Struthio camelus: one gene and its partner. Each later gene encodes a partner of the first gene's protein in a complex. Links are inferred from orthologs where the notes say so. Each region holds a gene or a part of one and is shown on either strand. Other genes may lie near its edges.

The links.
Region 2: HDAC2 (region 1) and HMG20B share a complex: the UniProt entries of both Homo sapiens proteins name them as parts of the BHC histone deacetylase complex. The link is inferred for Struthio camelus from reciprocal best matches to the Homo sapiens genes HDAC2 and HMG20B.

The regions. Positions count from the first base shown.
Region 1 is NC_090944.1:63,043,721-63,047,463, forward strand, and holds the start of HDAC2 (histone deacetylase 2), read right to left. Parts: upstream 2,303-3,743; 5' UTR 2,035-2,302; coding exon 1,983-2,034; intron 1-1,982. UniProt on the Homo sapiens protein: Histone deacetylase that catalyzes the deacetylation of lysine residues on the N-terminal part of the core histones (H2A, H2B, H3 and H4).
Region 2 is NC_090967.1:324,725-328,467, forward strand, and holds the start of HMG20B (SWI/SNF-related matrix-associated actin-dependent regulator of chromatin subfamily E member 1-related), read left to right. Parts: upstream 1-1,330; 5' UTR 1,331-1,345; coding exon 1,346-1,359; intron 1,360-2,708; exon of another isoform or gene 2,709-2,802; intron 2,803-3,407; exon of another isoform or gene 3,408-3,410; coding exon 3,411-3,494; intron 3,495-3,743. UniProt on the Homo sapiens protein: Required for correct progression through G2 phase of the cell cycle and entry into mitosis. Required for RCOR1/CoREST mediated repression of neuronal specific gene promoters.

The DNA.
Region 1 (3,743 bases):
AGACATACACCACCATGATCTAAAAGTACAAAGATACAAATTGTACATTTGTTTTTGGGTTATTTAAGGCTTTAAACACTCCCCGCACTTTGATTCAAGACTTTGCTGGTAGAACACAACAGAAAGTACTCAAGATTATCACATGAGCCACAAATTAGCAGTAGAAACATTTACCAGAGGTATTAGGTCTAAACTTCTTTCTAATAACTATCTCCAAGTGAACACTGTAGAAAGAAATACAACTATTGGCTTTGTCAGGAAATAAAAAAGGCATTATAAACATTCCAATGCTGTTAATTTCTCTGTTACAGAGCAAGCATTTTCTAAATCATTCTTACTACAGATATTCCTTTCCCTAGCTTATTAGTGACTGCTTTTATTGTAGTCTACTGCAAGGTATTAATTACAACTCGCAAGGTATTAATTACAACTACTTAGAAGTCACCATTGTCCTGCCACCTCAAAACTTCTCCCTTCCCCACTTTCTCTTGCCTCTTCACTAGTGTAGTTTTATGGCTGTTTAGGGTCTCAGTTAACAGAGGTTGACACTAGCGCCGAGTATCAAAATCAAGGCATCACCGCAAAACTGGAGATACAGCTATCTAGTGAACTACAATTACCTGACATTAAAAAAAATGTATATTGATAAAAAACAAACATGCAATCATTTGCAGGGAGAAAGCTTGCAAACTATCAATGTAATCTTTCTTTCAATAATGCAAAAAAGCAAGCCCTCTTCCCTGGCACAAGTAAGATCCCAGCTTCACCAAAATTCTCCCTAACTGGGGCCTCCTTTCCCCTTTAGGCTGAACAAAGAACGAGAGCTAGCAACAAAGAGAAGGGGGCGGCAACAACCACTCTGCCTCCTTTAGTGTAGTTAAAAAAAAGAAAAAGAAGAAAAAAAAAACTAGACAGGCCCCACAAGATCTGCCATTTCTGAACAGCGGCAGATTTGCTACAGCAACAGACACCTTTGATATCTTGCTTGGTTTAGCCATTCTTCTCCGTTTCCCAAACGATGAAAACACATCACAAGCAAAGCAGCCTCAACCTCTGTTTCCTGACTACTGCACACACAACTTAAGGGATTCCCATGACAGGAGGAAATCTTAAAAATGAAATTGGTAACTAATCTGACCAGTTTACCCTCCCAGTACCAAAAATAAAACCAAACCCAAGCCCTGGAAAAAAAAAAAAATAGAAAAGTTTTCTCTGTTGTGGCCAGAAAGAACCACAAGCAAGTTGCTGCAAATACCAGAAACTAAAGCGTGAGCTTTATGTACTTCTTAGATGTGACTGACAAGGCAAATCACAAGTCACTACATTCTCACCAGGCGAGTGCACAAACTTAAGAAGGCCTACAAAAAAATCCAGTTTCCCCATTACTAAACATACATGCGACTTCGGTGTTTTGCTAGAGCAGAGGTTCATGAAAGCCAAATTTACACTCTTCATGCATGTCCTGGGGGGAGGGGGGTTGGGAAGAATACGCCTGTCCCCTCCACAGACAGAAAGCCTCTATACAAACTGGACGAAAGGCCTCAGCTGCAAGGATCACCAGGTGCCGAACCTACACATGGCCTAGACTTTTGGCAGGGGAGGAGCCAGACACGGCAGCGACTCCAACGTCTTCACGGATAGCGGATGGAGGAGAGTGTATCAACTTTTTTTTCTTTTTCTTTTTTTTTTTTGGGGGGGGGGGGAGGGAAGCGGTAACAATAAACACAGCATTCTCCGCCGGGCCCCCGGCTCCGCCGCAAGCCGGGCAGCCTCCCCACCAGCACCCTGTGCGGCTCCAGGTCGCCTTTCCCCGCGCCGCTCCGGCCCTGCAGGTGGATGGCGGCGGGGACCGGCCGGCGCTGCGCACCGCGGTGCCCACGGGGCACCTCGACCGGGCGGTGGGGGGGGGGGGGGGGAGGAGGGAGGAGGCCGCCCCCGGCGGCGGTTAGAGGGGCTTCCCCCACCCGCACTCCCGCGCTCACCGTCATAGTAGTAGCAGACTTTCTTCTTGCCGCCGCCCTGACTGTACGCCATGGGGCCGCCGCGCCGGGGCTGAGCCGGGGGAAGGGGGAGGGCGCGGGAGGCCGAGGCAAGCGCCGAGCCGGCGGGGAAGGGAGGGAGGGGGCGGGCGGAGGCGGACGCGACAGAGCGGGAACGCGCGACGCCGGGGCACAGGCAGCGCGAGCGGACGCGACCAAGGGGTGGGGAGGCGCGGCAACACGGGCGCGCCCAATCCGCGGGCCCCGGGGGAGGGCAAGAGAAAGGTAGGCGGAGAGGGCGGGCGCAAGTGAGCGTGGGCTCTCCTCTACTCATCCCTACGGCTGTCACTCAATCATGTAGGCCGGAACGCAGTAGCAGGCACCGGTGAGCCCTCACAAGCGAGACGTTCGAGGCGGCGCCTGGCATGCGCACCCCTACGCCAGCCCCGTGCAGTGGTACGGTCCGCCGGCTCGAAGGAGGGAGACGGCGCATGCGCGGGGTGACGCCCCCTCTTCAGCGCCGCCTGCGCTGTGCATCGCATGGCGACGCGGGAGCGGGGTCGGGGCGGGAGACCTCACTGCCCGTGCCCGAAAAAAAGCGGGCTGCTCCTCGCCTCAGCGCGGGAATAGGTTACTCCAACTCCCCTCAGGCCACCCCCCCCCCCACCCGGGGCAGTGGGGCAGGGTCCCGCCCGGGCCTGCCCCGAGCGCGCGCGGCCCCCCTCCCCCCCCCCCGGCCGTTACGGGCGCGCTGCCGGCCCCTGCCTCAGGGCCCTTCTCCCCTGAGCGGGAGTACGGGCCGCGTGCAAATACTCGGCCTCTCGGGCTTCTCGCACCCATCCCCCTTTTCACTTCCTACCCTCTTTGTCTGTTCTCCCACCAAAAGCAGTTCTGATTCTCCGGACCTAGCGTTACATACTGTTTTTTTTTTTTTTTTTTATTTTAAATACTGAAAGCACTGAAAAACCTCACCTCTTTACACTTTTAAAATAGCTCAGCACACACCTTCCTTCACACAAATCATAGCACACAGGACAACAGGTAGGTCTGTGTCTAGCTGCAACTAAGAGCGCTCTTGGAGGCACATACCGTATTGACATTATTGTTGCCCAGTAAAACACGCGTCCCTGTTTTAGGAGGAGTTCAAAGCATACTTTACAATGTGCATAGCAATTCCTTTTTCCAGAAGGAAAGCACGCTACAAGATCAAAGTACTTGGGGTTTTATATATGAGGCTTGACATCCGGATCAAGTTTCAATTTGAGACCTACCAGCAATTTTCTCTGCCTTGAGGTTTGGTTACACATCCAGGAGGAAGAAATAAATGATTAAGCTGGTAACATTTAGGCTTAGCCAATAACTACAGCATTTTTGTATTGGCAACAATTCAAGGCTTCACAGCTCTTGGAGTTTGAGGTCCCGTGTATCAAAGCCTGAGGGTGTATATTCAGTCATCAACATAGTTACAGAAGATTATTCAGCCAATATGAAAAATCTCATATCCTAGCTTTAGGGACTTGCATTAGTTTTAGAAGTCTTAACCAAGGTTTCTTGATTTATCAAAGATCCTAGGAGTATCTGTAAACACAGATTCATATGCACCTTTATATCAGATTATGTAAATACCTGCCCTTTATCAGTATCACTTACCAAAACTAGTACATGTCCAAACCAAAGTTAGATCTCTGCTTCCAGAATCAGGTTATTTTCACCCCTAGAGATATCTAGCACAAAGTTAGGTCCTCTTGGGTGATAAGTTGGTTC
Region 2 (3,743 bases), on another chromosome or scaffold:
TGTCCTGCTGTAAATGAATGTAAGAGATCACTCGGGGCTGGGCATTAAGAGATTATCCTGATTAAAAATAAACCTACTTTTAAAAACTAGTATGTCATGACGATGTACCTGCAGCCAAATAACGCTAGGATTTAACAGGTGTATATTTTTATGCAATTTTATAAAATGCCGATGATGTTTTGCAAAGCTTTACCTAGCCAGGCTGCAATTTTCTGCGTCAAAGCAATTTTTTTTCCGAAGGTTTCCACAGACACAGCCCAGGTGTTTCTGAGAGTGATGGGCAGGTGAAAGGAGGCCTATGGAGGGGCAAAAAAGGAGTCGCTCAACCTGCACTGGAGCATGTTGAGTGTGCACACATACACCGGCTACAGCCCTACTGGCACACTGAGAGGACAGCGCAGGACGAGGGGGACCCAGTGCTGGTGCTGGTGATAAAGGCCAGGGGAAAGGCTCGATGCTATCTTTGCCTCAGTTTTCACCGTTTGGGCCGGCTGCCGGATCAGGCCTCCCAGCCTCCAGCCTAGCGGGGAGTGAAGCATCACCCACAGCCGAGGAGGGTCGCGTTGGGGAGCACCAAACCGATGGGACACACGCGGGTCGCTGGGACCAACGGGATGTGCTGAGGCTGCTGGGGGAGCTGATCCCCGTAGTATCATCTTGGAAAGGTCATGGAGATCTGAGGAGGTTCCTGCTGGCTGGGAAAAAACAAGTGCCATGCCGATCTGCAAGGAGGGCAGGAGGATCTGGGGAGCAACGGGTCAGGCCCACCACAGTCCCTGGGAAGATGATGGAGCAAATCCTCCTGGGAGCTGTTTCCAAGGGGGTGAAGGGCAGCAAAGTGGCTGAGAACGGCCAGAATAGGATCACCAAGAGCAAATCAAGCTGGCCAACCTGATTGCCTCCTACAGTGAGATGACTGGCTGTGTGGACAAGGGGAGCAGCAGATGTAGTTTTCCATGACTTTTGCAAGGACTTTGACACGGTCCCCCATAATATCCCTATAACCAAACTGAGGAGATCTGGGCTGGATAATAGCCAATAAAGTGGGTGCAAAATTGGCCTCACTGCTAGGCTCAAAGAGAGGTAATTAGTTATACAAAGTCCAAATGGCAGTCAGTCACTCGTGGTGTCCCCCAGGGATTAATACTGTGGCCAAGACTGCTTAATGTCTTTATGGATGACTTGGAAGATGCAACTATGATGTCCTGCACCTGCTTTGGAGTAACCTCATGAGCGGGACAGGCTGGGGCCATCTGGCAGAAGAGGACCTGGGTGTCCTGGTGAGCAGCAAGCAGCAGGACCAGGGCTGTGAAGGCAAACTGTGTCCCGGGCTGTGTCAGCCAGCATGTGGCCAGCAAGGTGAGGGAAGGGACGTTCTCCCTGTTTTGGTGTTTGCAAGCTGGACTCTCCTCAGAGGTGCGCAGGGGCGGGATGAGAAGCAACGACATTAGCTGGAACAAATTCCCACCAGATGTAACACTTTTCCTCCTTGAGGGGGGGAGTCATTAGGACTGGGACCACCCTTGGAGATCCCCAAGCCCCAGCAGGACGTGGCCCTTGCAGCCGATCCAATTGGCCCTGCTTCATGCAGGATTGGTCTCTCCTGGCCCAGCGCCGTGACCAGTGGGACAGTGTGAGGTGGCTCTGTGGTGTCACTGATGTCCCCTGGGGTGGACAGTGGGGCTGCCAGGCCCCCCAGGGCAGTGTTTGGGGTCACTGGGACACTGTGGGGTGGGTACTGAGGTCACTGGGAACAGTGGGGATGAGTGCATCAAGATACTGGGACCAGTGAGGGGGATCCTGGCATCACTGGAATCCCCTGAGGTGGATATGTAGCACCACTGGGACTTTTCCAGGGTGACCCTGGCGTGAGTGGGACCCCATGATGGGTACTGGGGCCACTAGGTTCCCCTGGGGTGGGCACTGGAGTCGCTGGGACACCCTGGCATAGGCAGCGGGGTCAATGGGAGCAGGATGGGGGATACTGGGACCATTGAGACCTTCCCTGGGGTGGGCACTGGGGTCACTGGAAACAGTCTAGGTCATACTGGTGTCACTGGGACCCCTCTCAGGTGGTCACTGTGATCACTGGGAGCCATGTACATGGCACTGGGGTGACTGGGACTGCCCAGCAGTGCACACTGGGGTCACTGGGCCCCCCCGGGGTAGCTACTGGGGTAACTGGGAGCAGTGTGGGGCACTCTAGAGTCACTGGGAGTGGTGTGGGGCCACTGGGATGCCCCCCAAGGTGGACACTGGGGGCACTGGGAGCAGTGAGGGGCACCCTGGGGCTACTGGGAGTGGTGTGGGGCCACTGGACTGCCCCCGAGGTGGACACTGGGAGCAGTGGGGGGACACTGAGAGCCCCGAGGCCCGCGGGGTCCCTCCGCGGGCTCCGCGGCCTGGGCGCAGAAGCGGTCACTGGCGGCGCCCCCAGGAGGCTGCTGAGGTGGGCCCCGCTCGTCGTTGCCCCTTTAAGGCGCTGCCCTCCCCACCAGATTGCCCCACCCCCATGGCGGTTTCTGATTGGCTGGGCAGCCTGCCGCGCGCGCCGAGCTTAGCGCGCCGCAGCACGCAACGCCGGCCAGCCCCGCCCACCCCCTCGCCCCTCCCCCTCCCGGCGCGCGTTCCTCTGACGAGACTCCACTCCAGCCAATCCGCGCTGGGCTGCGCGCCGCACGGCTCCGCGCGGGTGGCCAATCGGGAGCGCCGGGGCGGGCTGAGATTTGCATAATAACAGCGCGGGCGGGGCCGAGTGAGGAAGGGCGGCGGAGGGGCCGCTGGCGGCGCCAGGGAAGGGGGGTTGCGGGGCCCGGGGGGCGGCGGCGGCGGGGGGGGGCTGCGCCGGGGGCGCCAAGGGGCCCCTCCGTGCGGGGGGCGGGCTGCAGCGGGGGCACCGGGGGGTTTGGCGGGGGCCCCGGCCCCGTGCCTCAGTTTCCCCAGCTCCGCGCAGCAGTCGCTCGGGTTTCTCGGCTGGAGCTCGGCGGCGGGAGTAGCCCTCCCGCGAGCCCTGCTGCGGGGTGTCCCCGGGGCCGAGGGTCCGCAGGGAGTGCAGAGCAGCCCACCCCGCGCGGGGGGAGGCTCTCTGGGCGTTGAGGAACCCTCTGTCCCTTGGCCGTCCTGCCCCAGGGCGACGGGGCTGTTGTTCCAGTCTGCATTGTGTGCTAGGTGTTTGGTTCCATGGGGACGTGGAGAAGGAGGGGAGGAAGGTGTCTAGCCTTGGTGTGACTTGCCTGGATTTGTGCAGTGAGGTGGTGTCTGGGCTGCAAATAAAACCCAGGAGTCCTAAGTCTGTGTTGCCCAGATCAGAGCTCTCCAAACTTCGGCTTGGCCACCTCCATCTACAGAGTATCTTCCTCGCTGCTGCCTGTCCAGCAAGTGGCAATAACAGCTCTGATTTTGTGTTTCAGGGGTCCTGATCTGAGCAGTGTTGGCAGTGGTCTGCGAGGACTGCCCATGGCCCACAACACAAAGCAGCTGGCTGCAGGGATGCTGTAAGTGTTTTCCTCCTCGGGCCCGTGTGCTGTTGCTTCCAGCTGTGGAGATGCTGACTGATCTTCTAGTGCCTAAATGGAAGTCTTAACCTTGGCCAAATGGGAATGTGATCTCTTGTATGTCACAAGTTGCTTTGGGTCACCTTGTCCCTGTCCTGTGCCTGGTCCTGTTTTTGCCTCTTGCCAAAAGGTGGCTAGTCCTGGTTTGAAAACCTTAGGGATTTTCCCTGTCTTTTGGGAAGGCTGGTC